2 linked regions of the Rhinolophus ferrumequinum genome follow. The protein of the gene in region 1 interacts with the protein of each later gene in a biochemical or structural test. Links are inferred from orthologs where the notes say so. Each region holds a gene or a part of one and is shown on either strand. Other genes may lie near its edges.

Region 1 (7,918 bases):
AATTCCACCAGCACAGTTCCAGCTACAAGCAAGGTCCTGTGGGGTGACAGTAAGGGGTGAGGAGTGGGATGCAAAGACAAAAACTCTACAGTCCATGTTCTGTGGAAGCACCTATCAGTGGTCCCAAGCCACCTCTCCTGGGGGCCTGAGTCTTTCTCCCCATCAGGTCTCCCTTCCAACCAGACCACTGCCAGACACACACCTGGGCCTCCTGGGCCTGCTCTCATTCCTATGCAGGCACCTGCCGACAGGTTCCCTGCCTGCCCCAGCCATGGGTCCCTCTCAGCCAAGACCTGGTGGCCCCTCCCCAGCTCATTGTGGGGAGGAGACCATTTGACTTTCCAAGAAGGATTTTGCTGACTGATGGAATGGGAAGGTTCCTGATTGGTGACACCTGAGCAAAGGCCTGAGCGTGAGGAATTTGTGCATCATCCAATCAGGGCTTGATTGTGGCCTCACTTGCACCTGGGTCTGGCCTTCCCAAAAAAGCCCATGGAGAACCACTGCTGCTGGACCAAAGGGTCAGCACAGGCCGGGGAGACGGGAGCAATGGGGAGGGTGTCAAAATCAGAAAGTCACAGTGTTGGACGTCATCACTGCCACTGCTGCCCCCTTGATGAGGAAACCAAGGCCCAGAGAGGCAACTCAAGTGCCCAAGGCCACACAGCAGACGGGGCCAGACCAGGGCCCTCATCCTCCTGGGTTTCATTTCTCAGGCATTTGTCCTGGGGCCTCCACACCGAGAAATGCTGAGTACCAGGACCCGGGTTCTTTTTGGGACAGAAGGAGAAGATTAAAAATAAAACGCGTGCCGGGTGTGCCTCTCTGCTTGTTCACTTTGCTTCTTTTCAGCTAAAAGGAGAGTTGCAGGCCTGGCTATTTATAACTAACCCAGATCTGCAATGGCTTGTTCAAATGTGTGGGAATTGGGGTACACAGACCCCAAGGAAACAAACTGGAGAGACAAACCTGGCCCTCCCACAGCCTAACTGTCCAGCAGGGATTGGGAAACAGGACAGGGTGGGCGCAGAGCAGTCAGCCAGGAGGTAACCATCGCCAGAGGTCCATAGGCAACGAGACACCACCACCCCCACCCTTGGGAAGTGGGGAGATTAGTGGAGAGTCATCTGGGACTGGTCATTACAGCGCAGGTCGACACATGTGTAGATGAGGAATTCCAGGGCGCTAGGGGCTCTGGACATGCAGGCTGGGAGGCCTGGGGGAGCTGGGCCTCATGGGGCAGAAGGGCAAAGGCACAAGGCATGGGTGTTTGGAAAGGGTCCTGATCCGGCATGGTTGGTATGCCAGGAAGGGTTCAGTGGTTGATGAACCAGAAAGCTCCACTGGGATGGAGGATCATGATGTCCATGGCATGGACCCCCTTGTGGTTGCAGTTTGGCCACTTCCAGGGGTCGCTCTTTGGCCAGCTGTCCCTGCTGGTTTGGTGAGGTGCCAGGTGGGCTCAATCACCAGGGCCTGCTTCCTCTTTCTAGCGCAGAGCCCCAGCTGTTGTCTCTGGTCCTGTTCTACCAACCAGTGAGGACTCAGCATGGGGTACTGGCCCCAGCCCTAGGGACCACACATCCTCGCCTGGTACCCTGGGCCCACCGTGCCTCATTGTGACCCACTTATCCAGCTTTAGCCTGGTGTGGTCCCCATTCCCTGAACTCCTGGCACACAGACCCCCACCTGTGCTTTCCTTTGTTTGTTAGGACACTTCTCTGTCCTCAGCTTACTCGGCCTCACTCACAATAGCACGTGACATGGCTGAACATGTCTTCTTTTTCAAGACACTCCATTCCTGGAGCTCTGGGACTGTGGGAACAGAGCCAAGAGCAGTTTCCAGGCTCTCGGCCTCACGTGGAAAGGTGCTGGCTCAGATAGTAAATGGCCATCAACTGTGATTGGATGGCCATCAGCTGTGGCTAGTTGGCTGTCAGCTGTAACCAGTGAGCCATTGGCCACTAATATAACTGCCGTGGCTACGCTAGCAGCAAATGGGGGCTAGCAAGAAGATGGTGGCTGAGCTAGCAAGCGCGGATTGCAGTTAGCACGGCGGAGTGCAGCTAGCAAGTGGGGTTGGTTGGCAGAGAAGTGGACGGCAGGTTGCGGATAGTGTGGCTCCTGCTTCCTATGTCTCCAACCCAGCCGCCGGGGAGACTATAGTGGTATAACTCCCCTATCTATGGCTCTGTGGGTGTTCCTTTTTGACCTCACCATATCCTGCGTTCCAAAGTGGGGAGCGGGAGCTGAGACCCTGCATGACACCCTGCATGACAGGGACCCTCCCCTCCCTGGTTTCCTGGCCACCTCTCCAACTGCTTAGCAAGTGCCATCACTTCCTCCATCATCTCGTGTGGGCCCCCTTCTTGGTCACCCCCCTCTGCCAAGGCCAGCTCCTTCTCTCTATGGTTGCAGCCACCATAAAGCCATCTCCTGACACACAATTGCCTGGTGACCCCATGGCCCTACACTGACACCAACCTCATACACTGACTTCTCTGCTTTCTTATTTTCTCTGGGCTGACTAGTTGATGTTTTCATGATCTATGCCTATTTCATGCCTATTAGGACAATGCACGTGGTAGGAATACGCCTACTATACATATGAAACAAAAACTTACCTTTCTCCTTTTGGAATTTAAAAAGCTAACCTTAAAATTCTCCAGTGGTTCTTAGGCCAATGTCCCCAATCCTGCACAAGGGCCATCTGCCTGGTGTGATTGTTCCCAACTCCGCTGCAGCGTTCTGTTTTGGCATCCTCACACGCTTGCTGGCTCCAGCTACACTGGTCTTCTCTAGGTTCTCCTAGACCTCACGCTCCTTCACACCCAGTGCCTTCCTCATCTTGGAACATGCTTCTCTCCTGCCCCAACTCATCAGCCACTTCCATGCCTCTCCCGCTGTCCTAGTACCCAGGGCTCCCCCTGCCACTTACCCCCAAAGCCCTGGTGGGTCTCCTCCATCAGGCCTCACACAACCCTAAAGGCAGATTACGTTCTGCTGTCTGCTGCTGCCCCAAAGACAAGAGGGTCTAGCAGACAGGGCCAGGTCTGATTAAATCCTAGAATTGTGCCCGGCACAGAGGAGGCCGTCAGTAAATGACTGCTGGATGAAGGAGTACCATCATTGGTTGATAGCATCGGAACTTTCACTTCGAGGTGGCCATCAAGGTCAGGCGAGGGAGGCAGGAGCCAGCCCCATGAGGCCCCTGCATAGGCTAGCCTCTGATCTCACAGCGGGACTGCTGTACGAGGTCATCCCGTGCTTGCATCTAGCTTTGTCCCTGTGAGCAGCTCAACTCTGAGCCCTGATCCTGCCCTTATTCATCTTTGAATGTGTGCCGATGTGTCTCTCCCCTCAGAATCATTCTCTAGGGACAGTCAGTTGGTATCCCTTCTTAACAGAACAGGAAACTGATGCTTAGCCGGAGAAGTCACCAAAAGGCATACAGGTAATGGCAACAGAGCTGGGCCTGTGCTTCACCTTCAGCCCCCTCTTATCTCTGATCCACCTCAGGGCAAGGCCTCTGCCCGTTATCTTCCTGGTGTCACAGCCGCTGACCTCGGGGTGGTCCTGTGGGCAGAGGCCAGCCTGACCCAGCCTCTTGCTGCGGAGGACATGCACAGAGGAGCCCTCAAGGGCTAGCCACGCTCCTTTGGTCCTTATTGACCACATCCGGTGAGCCCTGGGCCAGATCTAGGTTCACCTCAGGATGCCCCTCACCACCATCTGCCCGGTCCCTGACAGTTTAGGCAAACCCTTCACAGCTGGGCCACAACCCTGCGGCTAGGTGGTGCAATGGTCTCCATTTCACAGCAGAGGGAACTTTCCCAGAGAGGATGACGTTGAAGGTGTAAAGTGATAAGGGCTGTGTTAGCTGGGAACATCTGCATTTTACCTGCGATACTCTAGGATGGCACAAAGGTTCAGGTTACCGTGACGGAGAAGGCAGAGAAGGAATTAATATCTTTTAAGCATTTAAGTGAGGGGCTCCTGGCTCTGAGGCCCACAGATGGGCTTCCCCTGAAACTGAAAGCAGAAATTTGGCAGACTGCCCTCGGGTGCATTTTGCTGAGTACTCCATGCCTTCTACTTAATCTTCCCAAAGGCACCAGTGGGACGATGGCCTTAACTGAGCTGGCTCCCTCCTGCCTTTCTGGTCTGCGGGATAAGTCCTGGGCCCTACTCCCTTCCCTCCCTTCCAGGGCAATTTTCTGTGGACAGGATTGACAGGGACCCTGAAGAGACACTACATGCTGGGTGTAGGAGAAAAGATGACTAACGCCCCTCCCATCGCTGCACAAACCTTACCAGTATAAACCTTTCGGGTTTGCATGCACAACCCTTTCACACATTCTAGCGGAACGTAGCGACAATTCAAGGAAGCAAGTGTCACTAGCCCCACGATGCAAAACAGGCCCAGAGAGGTCAGTCGGTTGCCTAAGGGCGCAGAGCTCAAAAAAGAGCCAAGCTGGGTTCGAATTCAGGCCGGGGGAGGGGAGCGGGAGCAAGGGCCATCGCCGCTCTCAGGCTTGGTCTGGGGATCTGCGGGAGGCGATCCCGCTGGGTTGGCGCCCTAGCCTGGGTAAAACCGGGTCCTGGGGATGCAGGAGCGGGTAACGCGTGCGGGACTGCGGCGCGCGCTGAGCCACGGTGCCGCCCCTGCCCGCCACCATTGGACCGTGGACGCGTCCGTCAGCCGCTCCTGCCCAATGGGCAGCTAGCCGGCGCTTGTGGCTCGGCAACGGCGCCCGGCGCGTGGTCACCGGCGGGCTCGCGGCACCCCCGCCCGCGGTTGGCTTGGCAACGCGCTGCGCTCGCGGCTCCGCCCCCTGCCGGCGGCTGCGGCGCGGGGCGGGCGGACCCGCGGGCGGACGGCGGGCGGCGCGGGAGAGCAGGCGGAGGGAGCCAGGCCGGCCGGAGCGTGTGCGCCGCCCGCGGTCCGGTCACGTCCCCGCGCGGGCGCCGCTGCCCGCGTCGTGCGGAACGAGGGCGCCGCGGTCCGCGCTTGCCGCCCCGCCCGCCCGGAGCAGCTCTGCCGATGCACCGTGCCTCGGCCTGGAGGTAAGCGAGCACGCCCGCGCCCGCAGCGTGCGGCTGAGCCTCGGGGGGTCGGGGGCGCGGCCGGGGCGTCTACCCCACCCCCACCCGGGGCCCCGCCCGGGCCTTTGTGCTGGGGATCCGCCCGGGCTGGGGGCCCCGGGGCGCAGCGACAGGGGTGCCGGCTGGGGGTGGGGTAGCGAGGGCGGGGATGCCCGCGATGTGGGCAGGAGGTGGCCACGGGTCCAGCAGGTGCTGGGGAGGGGGCGCCGCCTGGCCGAGGAGCCAGCGGGAGAGGCGGCTGCGGGCCCGGGAGGGTGAACCGCGGCGGCTGGGGATGCCGCGCAGGGGGCCCCGACCAGCCACTGATGCGGGGTCAGGCTGGGCGACCTGCAGGAACGGCGCTGAGGCGGGGTCTCCCTCCCGGGGAAGTGGGGAGGAGGCGACCCGGGCGGTGGGAGGGCTGACGCGTGGCCTTGGCTGAAACGGAGGAGAGGGCCCCGGAGGCCTGGGCCCGAGGACGGACGGCTCGCAGTTTTCGGTCATCGCTCTTGCAGTGAGCAGGTTCCTTGGAGGCATTTAGAGCAAGAGATGAGTATCGACCCACCGCGTTTGTGATATGTTCCCGTCTCAATATTTTTTACCTTAAAAGGCGGTGGGGGTGTTTGGGGGGAGGGGTGTGAGGGCCTCGGGGCTGGGGCTCGGGATCCTGCTGGAGATCTGCGGGGGCTCTGCCTTGAGGGCGGTGCGGAGCCTCTGTGGTGGTGATGGCAGGAATCTGCCTAGGCCGAGAACTGGGGTTCTCTGTTACAAGGATGAGAAGGCAGTGCCAGACCAGGGTTCCTTGGAGTCGGCGTCTCAGGATGGAGGAACCCGCCTGGTAGGCGAAGTCACACTGGCTTGGGGAGGCAGCCCAGCCCCTGACCGGCTTTTTTCTGCCCAAGTGATTTCCTTGCCCTGGGGACTGAGTCCCGCCGCCTTGGCTCTGTCTAGAGGTGGCTCCTTGGCCAAATTCGATTAAGCAAATATTTACTGAGCTTTTGCTCCCCCAGGGCCTGTGCTGGGGTAGGAGTGAACTGGGCCTGCCCTCCAGGGACTGACTCACCACCCCACAGGGGAGCAGTGTGTCTGCTCCTATGACCCAACACTGAGTGTGGGTGCCGGGTCTCGGGGGAGACCTCAGAGAGGTGTCCTGGCTGGGGTCAGGCAGGCCTGTGGGCAAAGTGACATTTGAACTGGAGCTTGAAGGACACAGGCACAGTTGGGGTGGGCATTGAGGGCAGAGTGGGGAGAATGGGCCGAGGCACAGAGAGGGTGCTGGGGCAGTTGGGTCTGGCAAGAGCACAGGGTATGCTTCGGAAGGCATAGGAGGTGTGGCAGGAATGGAGGGCGGGGGCTTCATGGAGGCCGCGGGAGCTGTGGGAAACAGAAGGACCCCGTTGCTTGTTCGCTCTGGCTGATTCAGTGGAGCCACAGTCCCCGCCTCTGTAAAAGGGAGTGGCTGTGGGATCCAGGAGCTGGAGTGGGCCTGGGGAAGAGTTTGGAGGGCCTCAGAGGGCTCCTTGCAGCCTAGGACTGCCCTTCCAAGTACCTTGTCCCTTGGGCAAGGCCACCCGGCCCCCTTCCTAGTCAGGATGGAAGATGATGTTTAGCTACTGACTGTCCCTTTGGGGCGTGGATGTCTGAGAGCAGTAACTGTGGACGCCTGGGAGTCTCCACGCAGGGTCTGATGGCGAGGGAGGGCCTGGCCACACTTGTGCTCAGACGGAGTGGTGTGCCTTCAGCGTTCCTCAGGTTCCAGGGACAAGATGCTGGCATTTGGTTTAAAACTCTTCTAGTGTGTTCCTCTAACAAATGTTGGTTTCTGAGCTAGAAGGTGAATAAGACCTAGTCCCTCCCCTTCAAAAGGCTGTGTCACTTTCTGCCTGAAATCTTGCTTGCTTCCTCTTGCTTGCTCCTGGCGATGTTTTGCTCTCCTGAAAGAGCTGTTTGTTACTCATCTGTGTTTCTTGCCCCTCCCAGCCCCACCCCTAAACACACACCCACTTTCTCATTTTTTTTGGGTGAGGCCCAGGTTGCTGCAGTGAGAGCAGGCAGCCTGCTTGCCCTCATGGGGGTGCTTCACTCCATTCTTGTGGCCCGCCCCATTCTGGGGGGCTTGCCATGGCATTTTAGGTGGGACAGAGAATGCATTCCTCCTTCTGCCCCAGCTTTTCTGTTTTCTGGAGTCTCAGGAGGCAAAGTGCCTTGGTCTGGATCTCAGGAGCTTCTAGGGCAATTCCAGGAACTCTCAGTGACCAAGTGGACTTGGCAAGGCTGCCCAGGGCCCCTGCAGAGAGGCTGGTGGGATGGAGTGCCCGAATGGCAGGGAAGGCTGGCCTCAGACACAGGGTGTGGCCTCATCGTAGCCACATGGTTGTCTTGTGTACACACGCGATAACAGTGTGCTGCGTCTTTCTTCCCTGGACATGAGGACGAGGCAGCCGTACTGCCCCCTGCTAGCTCTCAGATGACCTAAAACACTGTGTGGCTGTAGGATGTTCTTGCTGCCAACCATGGTGGGGCTTGCAGAGACTCTGGAGGAGGCAGATTAGCACACTGCTCCCCGCCAGCCCTCAGGCAGGAGACCTGGGGTGACCAAGCCCCTCAGAGGCAGGCCTGCAAGTGCCATGGTTGGCAGGAAGGAGGATGAAGGGAAAGGGACAAGCATCGGGGCAGATGCTGTATCAGCCCCAGGCAGGAGCCCAGAATGGTGGCCTGACATAGTTCGTGCAGATTGGAGAGGGGCTGGGAGGGCCCAGCTCCCCACAGGGTAGGAAGGGGCTAGAGCAGAGCTCCAGGTGAGACATCAGAAGACCTGAGTCAAGACCCCCCA
Region 2 (15,873 bases), on another chromosome or scaffold:
GTTGATGGACATTTACTACCTGAGCCAGCACCTTTCCATGTGAGGCCAAGAGCCTGGAAACTGCACTCCTGGCTCTGTCCCCACACTACTCTTGACCCATTTGAAAATGTCACTTTTCTGATGAAATAGTTTACTTTATGGTTAAAATTCAGGGCATATTTCTCTATAAATACAGAAAGCTGGTGATCAGGTTTGCTCGGCATATCATCTCTGCACCAACCCATGCCATCTCAGCCACAGACCTGTCATGGTGTGGCAGGTTTCATCAGGTTCCATGGAGCTCTCCTCAGAGGCAAAAGGAATGGAACAAAATCAGGAATGATGCAGTTAGTAGAGAGGGGCTGCTTCACAGCTCACCTGGGATGGCTTTTTCTAAGCATCATGGCATTATCAGCTATTTTCTGGCATTAGGGAGAAGAGGCAGATGTACCCTGGTGACATCTCCCTTACATTATTTGTTCAACACATCTATTGGTGATCACAACTAGTTTAATTATATGTTATAGTGTATGTAAGATATCCTTTGAGCTGCTTTGTAATTTCCTAGTAATTGAGCTCCAGAGTTGTTATTTAGAAATGACATAAGGGAAATAAGATAAAACTGTACTGACAGGAGAAAAATAACAGTAATAATGAATGTATTCACCAAAATTAGTTAATATCTCATATCCTTAACAATTTTTTACTAGAATAGAATCATATTATATGTTTGGAGAAGATATACCCCTTGGAAATGATCAGAGGGTAGAAAGATTATGAAATTTTAAGGAATTTCTTTAGTCTAAAATATATGGAAAGTTACAAACATCATCATTTCTAATCTTTCCTTTCTAAATGTGGATTGAACTTCCACATGCCCATAGAAATAGAGGAGTTTTAGTCAAAGGAAATTGTGGGGACAGAGCCAGGAGTGCAGTTTCCAGGCTCTCGCCCTCACGCGGAAAGGTGCTCACTCGAGTAGTAAATGTCCATCAACTGTGATTGGATGACCATCAGCTGTGGCTAGTTGGCCATCAGCTGTAACCAGTGAGCCATTGGCCACTAATATAACTGTTGTGGCTATGCTAGCAACAAATGGGGGCTAGCAAGAAGATGGTGGCTGGCAAGCGCAGATTGCAGTTAGCTCAGCGGATTGCAGTTAGCAAGGGGTTAGTTGGTTGGCAGAGAAGCGGACGGCGGGTTGCGGATCATGTGGCTTCTGCTTTCTGTGTTTCCAACCCAGCCACCAGCGAGACTATAGTGGTATGACTCCCCTATCAACGTGTCATGCAGGATTTCATGCAGGGTCTCAGCTCCTGCTCCCCACATAAGAACATAGGATATGGTGAGGCCAAAAAGGAACACCCACAGAGCCACAGATAGGGGAGTCAGACCACTAGTCTCGCTGGCGGCTGGGTTGGAGACACAGAAAGCAGGAGCCACACTATCCGCAACCTGCCATCTGCTTTTCTGCCAACCAACCAACCCCACTTGCTAGCTGCAATCCGCTCTTGCTAGCTCAGCCACCATTTCCTTGCTAGGTCCCATTTTCTGCTAGCATAGCCACGACAGTTATATTAGTGGCCAATGGCTCACTGGTTACAGGTGACAGTCAACTAGCCACAGCTGATGGCCATCCAATCACAGTTGATGGCCATTTACTACCTGAGCCAGCACCTTTCCATGTGAGGCCAAGAGCCTGGAAACTGCACTCCTGGCTTTGTCCCCACACTATGGCTCCGTGGACGTTCCTTTTTGGCCTCACCATGTTCGTATGCGGGGAGCAGGACCAGAGACCCCTCCTGTCACCCTGCATGACAGAAATCCTGTTCTAAAAGATAATTTATCATGAAAATCTTACTATCTCCTAGTGAAGATTATGTTTCCAGCCTGCCTTCAATTGAACAAGGACTTTGAGAAATTTTTGCACCTTGCTGAATAAATCATTAGTGTAAGAATAGTTCTTCCATTCTTTTTCATACAATAGGCATTTGCAAGAAGCTGACTTACTTTGGCCCAGCAGTAACTGAGTATTGACACCATGACCCCTTTGCAAAATACCCTAACCAACTACCCTAGCAGCCTCTGATTGCATTGGTATTGCCAAAGCAGGTCTAATTGATCACACAAGATTTTGCTTATGCACTGTATCAGTGCCCCAAATTCTTATGGCAACCAAGCTTCAAGATTTTCCAGGTAGGTTAATTTTATTATACTGCAACATTGACCTCAGAAGGACAATCTCTGCAATTTTAAATTTAAAAAATATGGTCATTGTGGTAGGCAGCTTCTAAAATCACTGTTAATGATCCCCACCTCGAAATGATTCATATGATGCATACCCTTCTGTAATTCATTCTCCTTGTGTGTGGGTTATACCTACTTTTTTTCTAAAGAATAGCGTGCAGCAAAAGTAAGGGATGTCACTTCCAAGATCAGATTATGGAAGACTGTGACTTCTGTCTTGCTTGCATTCTCTCAAGTTCTTCTCACTTATTTACTCTGGTGAATCAAGCTGCCAAGTTGTGAGCTGCCCCATGGAGAGGCCATGTAACAGGAGACGAAGGCAGCCTCCAGTGAACAATCAGCAAAGAATTGATGCCCTTAGCCCACTAGCCTTTGAGGAACTAAATCCTATTAACTCTGGAGTAAGCCTTGAAGTGGATCCTTCCCCATTGGAGACTTGAGAAGACTGCAGCCCTAGCTGACACCTTGATTGCAGCCTCACGAGAGACACTGAACCAGGGGTTGTAGACACTGGTACATTGCGGCTGATTACTATTTCTGTCAGAGGATAAATGTTATCTTAATCCACTAAGTTTTGGGGTACTTGTCATGCAGCAATAGGTAACTAATGCAGTTACCAAAATAAAATAATATCTAGCATTTAGCAAGAGTTTATTATGTGCTGGGCACTACAATAAGCCCTGTATATACGCTGCAAGTGAAAGGAAACAGATAAAGCTAGCTTAAGCAATAGTAATAATATTCTCAAAATAATATTTTTTTATTTTTAAGGAAGTTATTGGATCATGTAAATGAAAAGTGTAAGAGTAGATATTCAGGTATATTGAGTGACTTGCTCAAATGATGTGAGGAATCTATTTTTCTCTCTGCATGACTTTCTACTCTGGTTCTCAATGAACTGATTTTATTATTAGGCAAGCTCTATATCCAAGTATTGGCAAAGATATATACACCAATGGCACCAGACTTATATTCTGCTAATTAGTAACCATGGAAAACAAGCACTGCTTTTCTAATTGTTTAGCAGAAGTCCTAGGGCTGACTCTCATTGGGCAGGTCACATGCTTGACCTTGAATAGTCACTGTGGGCAGAGGGATGGAATGCACTAATTGACCAGGTCTGGGTTGTATTGACAGACATGGAGCTGGATGCAGAGTCAGCTATATCCAAATAACACGGCCTGAGAATGGGATAGATGTATTTCCCCAAAGAAAACCAGAGTGCTACTATTAGAAAAAGAGTACATAAATGGTGGGGGGCGGGAAGTCCACTACATTCTTGACAGACCAGCATACACACACACACACACACACACACACACACACACACAGAGGCATACCTCCCTTTTTTTCCATATATACACTTTCAGAAATGCTCCCACTTAACATATCCCACATGAGATTTAAGATGTACTCACTCATTCTAAAAAAAGACAACCCAGAATCTTTTCTACTTACTGCATCTGGATGAAAGTCAAGGATCGTTTGGTGACTTGCAGTCTTTTTGGTCTGGTGTATGTGTGGGTCCTTAAGGCTGTCAATCCATGGTTAAGTGATGCTTCTACACCACTTTCGATACACAGTGATGGAGGAAAACAAGGTAACTGGATTCATGATATACAGCAAAGACAGGCTATTCTATCAATAAAGCAAATGACTTGATCCACAGTCTGAGCTATGACTAATTGTGCAGTCTGAAACCCTCCCTAGTCTTGGTCTTCCATAACTGTCTGAGATGAGCCTCTGTAAGGATTTTCCTCTCTGGATCTGCATATCTTCAGTTTCCTTTACCTAAGGAAAGAGTGTTGGGTGGGCTTTGCCAGGCTTAGGGTTCTCTGATAGTTCAACTCCGTTAATACTTTACTCAATTGGTTTTCAATCCATTTGTTTTCCATCACTGTTATGAGTTAGTAACAAAGTCAGAGTTTTATTAATTGTCCATTAACCTTCCTCCTCTCATCACACTCTGAGATGTTTGTGCTTCTTAGACACAATTCTCCCAGCTCTGCCTGTTAGTTACACTGACACTTTAAGAAATGTCCTTTAACTTAGGATAATGTAGAATAAATATATGTATTTGTCAACAAGTATTTTACTCAACTTTCAATAAATTGTAAAATTCTTTTCTCATGCAAACTCCTCTTACTGCAATTTCCAGGAAACTTTTTCGGCACAGAATGCCAGGAAAGGCCAGTCAATGGTATTGTGCCATTATATGCATACACACACACCTCAAATATGAAAAAATATGTTTACTAGAATCTAACAAACACTGAGTATGCAACATTTTATTAAAGCAAATTAAAGATGAAAGAATTTTCATAGAAATAGTTGCTGAGTAGAAAGAAGTTTCCAAAATAGAGAATCATTACAAGTATGAGGAAAGTGCTAGAGATAACAAATATCCAAATAAAATGTTTCTTCCAAGGTTTAACCCCAGAATAGATGTGCAAAAGTGAAAGTGGGAGCAAGAGGAAAAAAATTCTGGTGGACCTGTGATATTCTTAAAGAAAAAGAGAAATACAAACAATTTGGTTTGCAGAGTGGCACAGAACACTGTGCTCTGTCCCTAGTGTATGGAGATGTGGAGGCTGGTCCCAGCTACAGTATTATATGTAGTCCTTGGACATATCACCTAATATCTCATGTAAGTTCCCCATCCACAAAATGAAGAAGACAAAATGGGCAGGAGGACAAGATGATCTTGATAGTCCTTTCCAGCTCCAAAGATTGCACATGTCAATTTGAGACTATTAATACCACCTGTTCTGTTTTCATTCTAAGAGTCCAGAAACAAATACCAGGTTTCTAGACCCTCAGACCAGTGATAGTTCAACCATATCTTCACTTAAGTGTCCCTGAGAAACATTTTTTTTAACTGTTAAGATATTTCTTGCCCCTACTCTGAAACATTTGGGCACTTGAGAAAGTTTCCTATCTTTTTTAAATAAAAACTTTAGCAGCATTATTGAGATATAATTCACATATTATATGATGCACCCATTTAACATGTACTGTTTATTGATTTTTAGCATATTCACAGGGTTGTGCAACCCTCATTGCAATCAGTTTTATAACATTTTTATCACCCCAAAAAGAAACCTCTTACTCATTAGTCGTCACTCTCCATCTCTCCCCAAACCCTCCTGCCCTAGGCAACCACTAATTTACTTCCTGTATCTAAAGATTTGCCTATCCTGGGCATTTTCTTATAAGTAGAATCATACATGTGATCTTTTGTGACAGGTTTCTCTCACCCAGCACAATGTTTTCAAATTTCATCCATGTTGTAGCATGTTGTAGCACTTCATTCCTTTTTATTGCAGAATAACATTCCATTGTATGGATACACCTCATTTTGTCTATTCATCAGTCGATGGGAAAGTGGGTTTTTTCCAGTTATTGGACATTTGTGTATAAGTCTTTGTGTGAACATATATTTCACTTCATTTGTTTCAGTAGATATCTAGGAGGGAATTGCTTGATCATAAGGTAGCTCTATGGTGAACATTTTGAAGAAGTGCCAAACTGTTTTCCAAACTGATTACAACATTTTATATTCTCATAAACAATGTATGAGAGTTCCAATTTCTCCACATACTCACTAACAGTTGTTATTGTCTTTTTGATTAGAGCCAACTTATTGGATGTGAAATGGTATCTCACTGTGATTTTCATTTGCCTTTCCCTAATGACTAATGATGTTGAGCATCTTTTCATGTGCTTATTGGTGATTTGTATATCTTCTTTGGAAAAAAGCCTGTTTAGATACAACACCCATTTTCACTTGTTTGGGGGTTTTTGTTGTTGTTAGTTGTGAGAGCATTTGAATATTCTAGATGCAAGTTTCTTATTACACAGCTACGACTTTCAATACTTTCTTCTATTTTGTGGGTTTATATTTACTTACTTGATGATGTCCTTTAAAGAACAAAATTTTTTAATTTTGGTGAAGTTCCACTTGCCTATTTTTTTCTTTTATCACTTGTGCTTTTTGTGTTGTATCTAAGAAAGCTTTGCCTAATCCAACGTTACAAAGATTTATCCCTATGTTATCTTCAAAGAGTATAATAGTTTCAGCTTTTACATTTAAGTCTATGATTAATTATGAGTTAATTTTTTTATGTGATTTGAGGTAGAGGTTCGACTTAATTTTTATGCCTACGACTATCTAGTTGTTCCTGCATCATTTCTTGAAAAAACAGTTCTTTCCCCATTGAATTGTTTTTGCACCTTTTTGAAAATCAACTGACCATAAATGTATGAGTTTGTTCCTGGACTCTCAATTCTATTTCATTGATCTATGTATCTATTCTTATGCCAGAACCATAGTCTTAATTACTGTAGCTTTGTATTAAGTTTTAAAATTGAAGGTGTGAATCCTCCAAATTTGTTTTTCTTTTTTGGGATTGTTTTGGATATTCTGTGTCCCTTATAATCTCAAATTTTAGAATCAACTTGTCAATTTTTGGAAAAAAGGGAGCTGGATGTTGATAGAGATTGTTTGTTTTACAGATCAATTTTGAGCTCCTGGGATCATTTTACAAAAGGAAATTTCTCCAGTTCATAGTCCCCAGTAATACACACCTGAGGCCCTTACCTCTGTGCCCCCAGACCCAGCAGAGACAACTCAGACATTAGATAACTTCTTTAAAGAAAGGTATTATGTTCTACCTTTTTGTACTCACTTTGTTTAAAATCTTATTTTTATAAAGTACTTTATAAATATAAAGTATTTATAAATATGAAATATTTATAAAGTACTTTATAAATATAAAGTATTTATAAATATGAAATATTTATAAAGTATGAAGCCAAATTCTTGGCTTAATCATTAGATGACTAGCTGCCTCATAAGAAAATCATTTTAACTAATTCTACATGACATAAATATAAAGAGTGATAATCCTTAACCTTGAGTTTGCATATGAGTTTAGCATACATTTCTATCCACAAAGCTGACTGCTGCTACTAAAATGATATTTTAAAAAACCTAAATATATTAGGTGAACCATTTGCCTTTCAATTGCAAAGCACAGGACTGTCAAGTAATCCATTTTCATTTTTTTAAATTAGTTTATTGGGGTGACAATGGTTAGTGTGGAGACAGAGCCCCAGAGAGTACTTTCCAGGCTCTCGGCTTCACATAGAAAGGTGCTGGCTCAGGTAGTAGATGGTCATCAGGTGTGACTATTTGGTCATCAGCTGTTACTGGTTAGCCATTAGCCACTGATATAACTGCCATGGCTAAGCTGGCAAGTGGTGGAGTGTGGATTTCGGATCATGTGGCTCCTGCTTTCTGTGTCTCCAACCCAGCCACCAGTGAGACTATAGTGGTATGACTCCCCTATCTATGGCTCCATGGGTGTTCCTTTTTGGCCTCACCAAGTCCTACGTTCTTATATGGGGAGCGGAACCAGAGATCCCGCATGACACCCTGCATGACAGTTAGTAAAGTTACATAGGTTTCAGGTGTATAATTCTGTAATACATCATCTATATATCACATTGTGTGTTCAGCACCCAGAGTCAGTTCTCCTTCCATCACCATATATTTGATCCCTTTTACCCTCATTTATTACCGCCCTTCCCCCTTACCCTCTGGTAACCACTAAACTATTGTCTGTGTCTATGAGTTTTTGTTTCTTCCTTTGTTTGTCTTGTTCTTTTGTTGTTTTCAGGTTTATATACCACATATCCGTGAAATCATACAGTCCTCAACTTTTTCTGTCTGACTTATTTCACTTAGCATAATAATCTCAAAATCCACCCATGTTGTCACAAATGGCACTATTTCATATTTATCAGTATATATTAAGTAACATATTGCTTGAATCATTTTTTTCAGTTTTGATTTAGGATTAAATTTTAATTAGGAATACATTGCTACCTGTAGAGGGCAGTCATAACATAAGTAGGCATTCAAAATAAGAGGCTCCACCTGGAACAGAACATTAAAGATCTGTGGATAAGCTGCTGATCCACAAAACAGATAATCCTTTTGCTTTGATTAGTGTCACTTTCCAGGGAGCCCCCCAGCAGACTGAGAGATGGCTCAGCATCAGCCAAAAGAAAAGAAATAGGGTGGACTCTGGACTGGTGTTGTTAAAATCAGGCTACAGAATTCATTTGGAGCCTTTATTGTAAAAACATGCCCAGGCTTTCCCAAGACAACCAAGAATGCATTCAGAAATATTTCTCCAGGCCATCCATGTGGAAGCAATTTCTGCCCCTGCCTAGGGCTGAAGGATATAATGCAAATATTCACCAAACCGCAGAAAACGAAGAGGGCACCAAGGCTGTGTATGACGTCAAGGTAAAACAATTTCCACAATCCATGATCCTTTCTTGACAAAGAAAGGGTTTATCCAGAAAGAATATAAAACCATAAAAAAGCTTCAGCGTCATTGCTCACTCACTTCATCTTACTGACAATATATCAAAATTGTTTTCAAACCAACTGTCATGCAGGGCATCGTCAGGCAGGGTCTCTAGTTCCGCTCCCTGCATAAGAATGCAGGATATTGGTGAGGCCAAAAAGGAACACCCACAGAGCCATAGATATGGGAGTCATACCACTATAGTTTCACTGGCGGCTGGGTTGGAGGCACAGGAAGCAGGAGCCACACCATTCGAAACCCGCTGTCCACTTGTCTCTGCCCAATGACACACCTCACTTGATAACTGCAGTCCGCCTCTCTGCAATCCTCAATCCACACTCCACCCTTGCCAGCCACTATTTTCTGCTAGCATAGCCTCGGCAGTTATATTAGTGGCCAATGGCTCACTGGTTACAGCTGACGGCCAACTAGCCACAGCTGATCGCCATCCAATCACAGTTGATAGCCTGGAATTACTGCACTACTCGAATGAGCACCTTTCCACATGAGGCCGAGAGCCTGGAAACTGCTCTCTGGGACTCTGTCCCCACACCAACCCCAAGAGAAAAACTAGAACCTTGATGATAATTACCTGATCTGTCCAGTTTTCTCATCTAAACAGCTCCCATTTACCAAGACAAATTATTCTTTATTTATTTTTGTTTGTTTGTTTCAGGAGGTAATGTTTTAAAAAGCAGAAAACCTAGACAAATTTTTGTGGTTATTGCTATTAAACCCTGAATGTTTTTCTCTGATATAAAGATTACACCCCATATAGTAATGAAAGAAAAATTATAGACTGCTTTCAACAAAAAATGGAAGTAAGAAAAATTGATATACAAATACAGGGTCATAAGAACATTAAGGAGCGAAGGGGTGTTTTTCTTTTCTTTTTTTTTATATACATATATATATTTTTTAATTTATTTTTTTAATTTATTGGGGTGACAATTGCCAGCGAAATTACATAGATTTCAGGTGTACAATTCTGTATGACATCATCTATAAATTACATTGTGTGTTCACCACCCAGAGTCAGTTCTCCTTCTATCACCATATATTTGATCCTCCTTACCCTCATCTCCCACCCTCCACCCCCCTTACCCTCTGGTAACCACTAAACTGTTGTCTGTGTCTATGAGTTTTTTTTTGTTTTTTAGTTTTTCTTAGATGTTTATCATATCCCTCACACTGTGGACCCCCCCTCCCCCATCCACTATCTCTCTGACATCGCACCGAGCCATCCCATTTCCACTATCTCCACTCCCAATGCTGTACTCTGCCTCTTGTAAATGTTTACATACCTATATATACATATATATATACACACACATATATATATATAATATTATAGTTGGCATTCATTATTGTTCAGCTTCAGGTGTACAGTGCAGTGATCAGGCATCTACATCTTCTCTGAGATGGTCTCCCAAATGGGACACATGTCTATCGGATACCCTACAAAATCTTTACAACATTATTGATTACGTTCCCCAGATTAATTTCAAAACCCCGTGACCATCTTGTGGTTACTGACTGTTTTCTAATCCCCTCACCTTCCCCTTTACCCACACCACCCCACCCATCTAGCAACCCTCAGTTTTTCCTCTTTGTCTCCAAAACTGTTTCTGATTAGTTCATTCACTTATTCTTTTCTTTAGATTCCACGTATAAGTGAGATCATATGGTACTTATCTTTCTCTGTCTGACTTATTTCACTTAACATATGTTCTCTAGGTCCATCCATGTTGTTGCAAATGGTAAGATTTCTTTCTTCTTTATGGCTGCGTAGTACTCCATTGTATAAATGTACCACAGTTTCTTAATCCAGTCATCTGTCGATGGGCATTTTGGTTGTTTCCATGTCTTGGCTATTGTGTATAGTGCTGCAATAAACATAGGAGTGCATAAAGATTTTTGAATTGGAGTTTTGGATATCTCCGGATAGATACCTAGGAGTGGAAGTACTGCATCATAGGGTAGTTCCATTTTCAGATTTTTGAGATACCTCCATACTGTTTTCCATACTGGCTGCACCAATCTGCAATCCCACCAAGAGTGCACAAGCGTTCCCTTTTCTCCACATCCGTGCCAGCACTTGTTGTTTGTTGATTTATTGATGATAGCCATTTTGACTGGGGTGAGGTGGTATCTCATTGTGATTTTTATTTCATTTCTCTGATGGGTAGTGAGGTTGAGCAATTCTTCATATGTCTGTTTGCCATTTGTATGTCCTTTTTAGAAAAGTGTCTCTTCAAGTCCTCTGCCCATTTTTTAATTGGGTTGTTTGTTTTTTTGGAGTTGAGTTGAGTGAGTTTTTTATAGATTTGTGATATTAATCCCTTGTTAGATATATCATTGGCAAATATCTTTTCCCATTCAGTAGGATCCCTTTTTGTTTTATTGATGGTTTCCTTTGCTGTGAAAAAACTTTTTAGTTTGATATAATCCCACATGTTTATTTTTTCTTTTACTTCCCTCGAGCGAGGGGATATATCAGTAAAAATCTTACTCCGGGTAATGTCTGTGAAGTTTCTTCCTATATTTTCTTCTAGGTATTTTATGGTTTCAGATCTTACATTTAAGTCTTTAAGCCATTTTGAATTTATTTTTGTATATGGTGTAAGGAGGTGGTCCATGTGTTATTTGCATGTGTCTGTCCAGGTTTCCCAGCACAATTTATTGAATATACTGTCTTTACTCCATCGTACATTCTTGCTTCCATTGTCGTAGATTAAATGGCCATATAGGCGTGGATTTATTTCTGAACTCTCTATTCTGTTCCATTGATCTATGTGTCTGTTTTTATGCCAGTACCACGCTGTTTTGATTACTGTAGCCTTGTAGTATAATTTGAAGTCAGGTATTGTTATACCTCCCACTTTGTTCTTATTTCTCAAGATTGCCTTTGCTATTCGGGGTCTTTTATGGTCCCATATAAATTTTAGGATTATATGTTCTATTTCTGTGAAAAACGACGTTGGCAGTTTGATAGGAATTGCATTGAATATGTATATTGCCTTAGGCAGTATGGACATTTTAACTATATTAATTCTTCCTATCCATGAACATGATATGTGTTTCCATCTATTTATATCTTCTTTCATTCCTTTCTTCAGTGTCTTATAATTTTCTGAGTACAGATCTTTTACTTCTTTGGTTAAATTTATTCCCAGGTATTTTATAGTCTTTGGAGCGATTGTAAATGGGATTGTTTTTTTAATTTCTCCTTCTGATGTTTTATTATTGGTATATACAAATGCAACTGATTTCTGAATATTAATTTTGTATCCTGCTACTTTACTAAATTCATCTATCAGCTCTAATAGCTTCTTGGTGGAGTCTTTAGGGTTCTCTATATATAGTATCATATCATCTGCATATAATGATAATTTTACTTCCTCCTTACCAATTTGGATGCCCTTTATTTCTTTTTCTTGTCTGATTGCTGTGGCTAGAACTTCCAGCACTATGTTGAATAGAAGCGGAGATAGTGGGCAACCTTGCCTTGTTCCTTATCTTAGGGGGAATGGTTTGAGCTTTTCCCCATTGAGTATGATGTTAGCTGTGGGTTTGTCATATATGGCCTTTATTATGTTGAGATATGATCCCTCTATTCCCTCTTTCTTAAGTGTTTTTATCATAAATGGCTGTTGGATTTTATCAAATGCTTTTTCTGCATCTATTGATATGATCATGTGATTTTTATTTTTCATTTTGTTAATGTGGTGTATCACATTAATTGATTTGCGGATGTTGAAACACCCTTGCATACCAGGGATGAATCCCACTTGATCATGGTGTATGATCTTTTTAATGTATTGCTGAATTCTGTTCGCTAATATTTTGTTGAGGATTTTTGCATCTATGTTCATTAGAGATATCGGCCTGTAGTTTTCTTTTTTTGTGGTGTCTTTGTCTGATTTTGGGATCAGTGTGATAGTGGATTCGTAAAAAGTGTTTGGGAGTCTTCCGTCCTCCTGGATTTTTTGGAAGAGCTTGAGGAGAATCGGTGATAATTCTTTTTTGAACGTTTTGTAAAATTCAACTGTAAAGCCATCTGGTCCAGGGCTTTCGTTTGTTGGGAGATTGTTGATTACTGATTCAATTTCCGTGGTGGTAATCAGTGTATTCAGGTTTTCTGTTTCTTCTTGAGTTAGCCTTGGAAGGTTGTACGCCTCTAGAAAATTGTCCATTTCTTCCAGATTGTCAAATTTGTTGGCATATAGTTGCTCATAGTAACTTCTTAAAACTTTTTGTATTTCTGCGGTGTCTGTTGTCACTTCTCCTCTTTCATTTCTGATTTTATTAATTTGGGTCCTCTCTCTCTTTTTTTCAATGAGTCTGGCTAAAGGTTTGTCAATTTTGTTTATCTTCTCTAAGAACCAACTCTTGGATTCATTGATCTTTTGTATAGTTTTTCTGGTTTCTATTTCATTTATTTCTGCTCTGATCTTTATTATCTCCTTCCTTGTGCTCCCTTTGGGCTTATTTTGCTGTTCTTTTTCCAGATCCCTTAAGTGTGAAGATAAACTGTTGATTAGTGATGTTTCTTTTTTTTTAGGTAGGCCTGCAAAGCTATGAATTTCCCTCTTAGGACTGCTTTCGCGGCATCCCATAGATTTTGGGTCGTCGTGTTTTCATTTTTGTTTGTCTCGAGATATCTTTTGATTTCTTCCTTGATTTCCTGCTTGACCCATTCATTATTTAGTAATAAGTTATTCAGCCTCCAGGAATTGGTGTGTCTTCCAGTTTTTTTCCTGTAGTTCATTTCTAATTTCATAGCACTGTGATCAGAGAAGACAATTGGTATGATTTCAATTTTCTTAAATTTATCAAGACTTGTTTTGTGGCCTAACATATGGTCTATCTTAGAAGATGGTCCATGTGCGCTTGAGAAAAACGTGTATTTTGCAGCATTGGGGTGAAATGCTCTGAAAATATCGAATAAATCCAAGTGGTGCAATGTATCATTTAAGGCTGTTGTTTCCATATTGATTTTCTGTCTGGAAGACCTGTCCCTTGTTGTCAGAGGTGTGTTGAAGTCCCCTACTATGATAGTGTTACTGTTGATCTCTGTCTTTATGTCAGTCAGTACCTGTTTTATATATTTAGGTGCTCCTATGTTGGGTGCATAGATATTTACTAGAGTTATGTCCTCTTGTCGGATCTATCCCTTTATTATTATATAGTGCCCATCTTTATCTTTTAATATGTTCATTTTAAAGTCTATTTTGTCAGATATAAATATTGCAACTCCAGCTTTTTTCTCGTTTCCATTTACATGAAATATCTTACTCCAACCCTTCACTTTCAGCCTGTGTGTGTCTTTTGTTCTGAGGTGAGTCTCTTGTATACAGCATATACAAGGGTCTTGCTTTCTTATCCAGTCAGCCACCCTATGTCTCTTGATTGGAACATTTAATCCATTTACATTTAAAGTGATTATTGATAGGTACATAGTTATTGCCATTTTTAAATTTGTAGTTAGATTGTTTTGATCTTTCTTCTATTTAGAGAAGTCCTTTTAGTATTTCTTGCAATGCTTGCTTGGTGGTAATAAATTCCTTTAGCTTATTTTTTTCTGGAAAGCTCTTTATCTCTCCATCAACTTTAAATGATAGCCTTGCTGGATAAAGCAATCTAGGTTGTAGGCCTTTGTTTTCCATCGCTTTGTGTATCTCCTGCCACTCCCTCCTGGCCTTCAATGTTTCTCTAGAAAAGTCATTTGATAGTCTTATAGGAGTTCCCTTGTATGTAACCCTTGTCTTTCTCTTGCTGCTTTTAGGATTCTCTCTTTGTCTTTAAGCTTTGCCATTTTAACTATAATGTATCTTGGTGTGGACCTGTTTGGGTTTATCCCAAACAGAGAGTTGGAACTCTCTGCAATTCCTGGGCTTGTATGTTGGTTTCCTTCATCAGGTTGGGGAAGTTTTTGGACATTATTATTTCAAATATGTTCTCAATCCCTTGCTTCCTCTCTTCACCTTCTGGTATTCCTATGATGCGCATGTTGTTGCACTAGATGTTATCTCAGAGGTCTCTTAAGCCATTCTCATTGTCTTTTATTCTTTTATCTTTCTGTTGTTCCGTTTGGGTGATCTCTGCTACCTTGTCTTCTAAGTCGCTGATTCGATCCTCTGCTTCATCTAACCTGCTGGTAATTCCTTCAAGTGAGCTCTTAATTTCGGTAATTGTGTTCTTTAGTTCTAACTGGTTGTTCGTTATGATTTCTACATCCTTCTTTATGTCTTCTCTAAGCTCCTTAAACATTCTTATCACCAGTGTTCTGAACTCTGTCTCTGAAAGGTTGGTTACCTCTGCTTCATTTGGTTCCAGTTGTGGAGGTTTCTTCTATTCTTTTATTTGGGACGTGTATCTTTGTTTCCCCATTTTGGCTGACTCTCTGTGTTTGTTTCGATGTATTAGGTAGATCCCCTAGAGTTCTTATTTCTTGCTAGGTTATCTTATGTAGTATGTGTCCTTTATATTTGACTTGCACTACTTCGTTCTTCTCCTCTGCGTGTGCTCCAAAGGTGACTCTTGTGTTGTGTATATTGTCCTGTTCAAGAAGATCTTTAATTGCTTTTTGCTTGTGAGTAGGTGGGGTTAACTCCTAGGCTGACTCATTGTGAGACTTGGCTCTGCCCACCGCAGGGCTTTCTGCTGCATGAGGGTTGACCACTTACATGTGGTTTGGCCTCTATGGGCTCTAGTGCCTGCAGAGAATTCTCTCTGGGTGTGTGACTTGTAGGTCAAACCCGGTAGTACTCTGGTTTGGTCTGGAGTTGGCCTCTGGATATGTTGAATTTTGTGCCTCTTAAGCTGGGCCCTGGTAGGGCAGTTTCAGAACAAAGCAAATCACCAAGCACAACAAGAACAACAAAGCAACAAATCAAATACATTCACATGTAAAAACACCCGATAACCCCCACTCGACACAGGCAAAGATATCAACGATATAAAGTCAAAGCAAAACAAAACAAAACAAAGCAAAACAAAAAGCAGCGCCAGTCTTGGCTTAAGCCCACCAAGTAATGTCCAGGTTGTCCTCTGCTGTACCAAAGAGCCCCCTGCTTATTGCGCAGGCAGAGCCGGTCACCTTGTGCCCAGAGTCACTTTGGGACTGTAGATTTAAATGCGTGGGCCTGAGGGGTCTGGATGATAGTTTTTACAAAGTCAGTGCAGCTTCTGCCCTTGCCTGCACATATGCACACTGAGAGTAGCACCACCAGCCCCGTGTCCAGTACTCCTGAGTCTTAGGGCA

Evidence for each region.
Region 2: the proteins of GNAZ (region 1) and RGS20 form a complex in vitro, tested with the Homo sapiens proteins (2 studies listed by BioGRID, with this or other methods). The link is inferred for Rhinolophus ferrumequinum from reciprocal best matches to the Homo sapiens genes GNAZ and RGS20.

The regions. Positions count from the first base shown.
Region 1 is NC_046308.1:21,775,740-21,783,657, forward strand, and holds the start of GNAZ (guanine nucleotide-binding protein G(z) subunit alpha), read left to right. Parts: upstream 1-4,918; 5' UTR 4,919-5,067; intron 5,068-5,782; exon of another isoform or gene 5,783-5,923; intron 5,924-7,918. UniProt on the Homo sapiens protein: Guanine nucleotide-binding proteins (G proteins) are involved as modulators or transducers in various transmembrane signaling systems.
Region 2 is NC_046297.1:24,425,160-24,441,032, reverse strand, and holds the start of RGS20 (regulator of G-protein signaling 20), read left to right. Parts: upstream 1-8,377; coding exon 8,378-8,536; intron 8,537-15,873. UniProt on the Homo sapiens protein: Inhibits signal transduction by increasing the GTPase activity of G protein alpha subunits thereby driving them into their inactive GDP-bound form.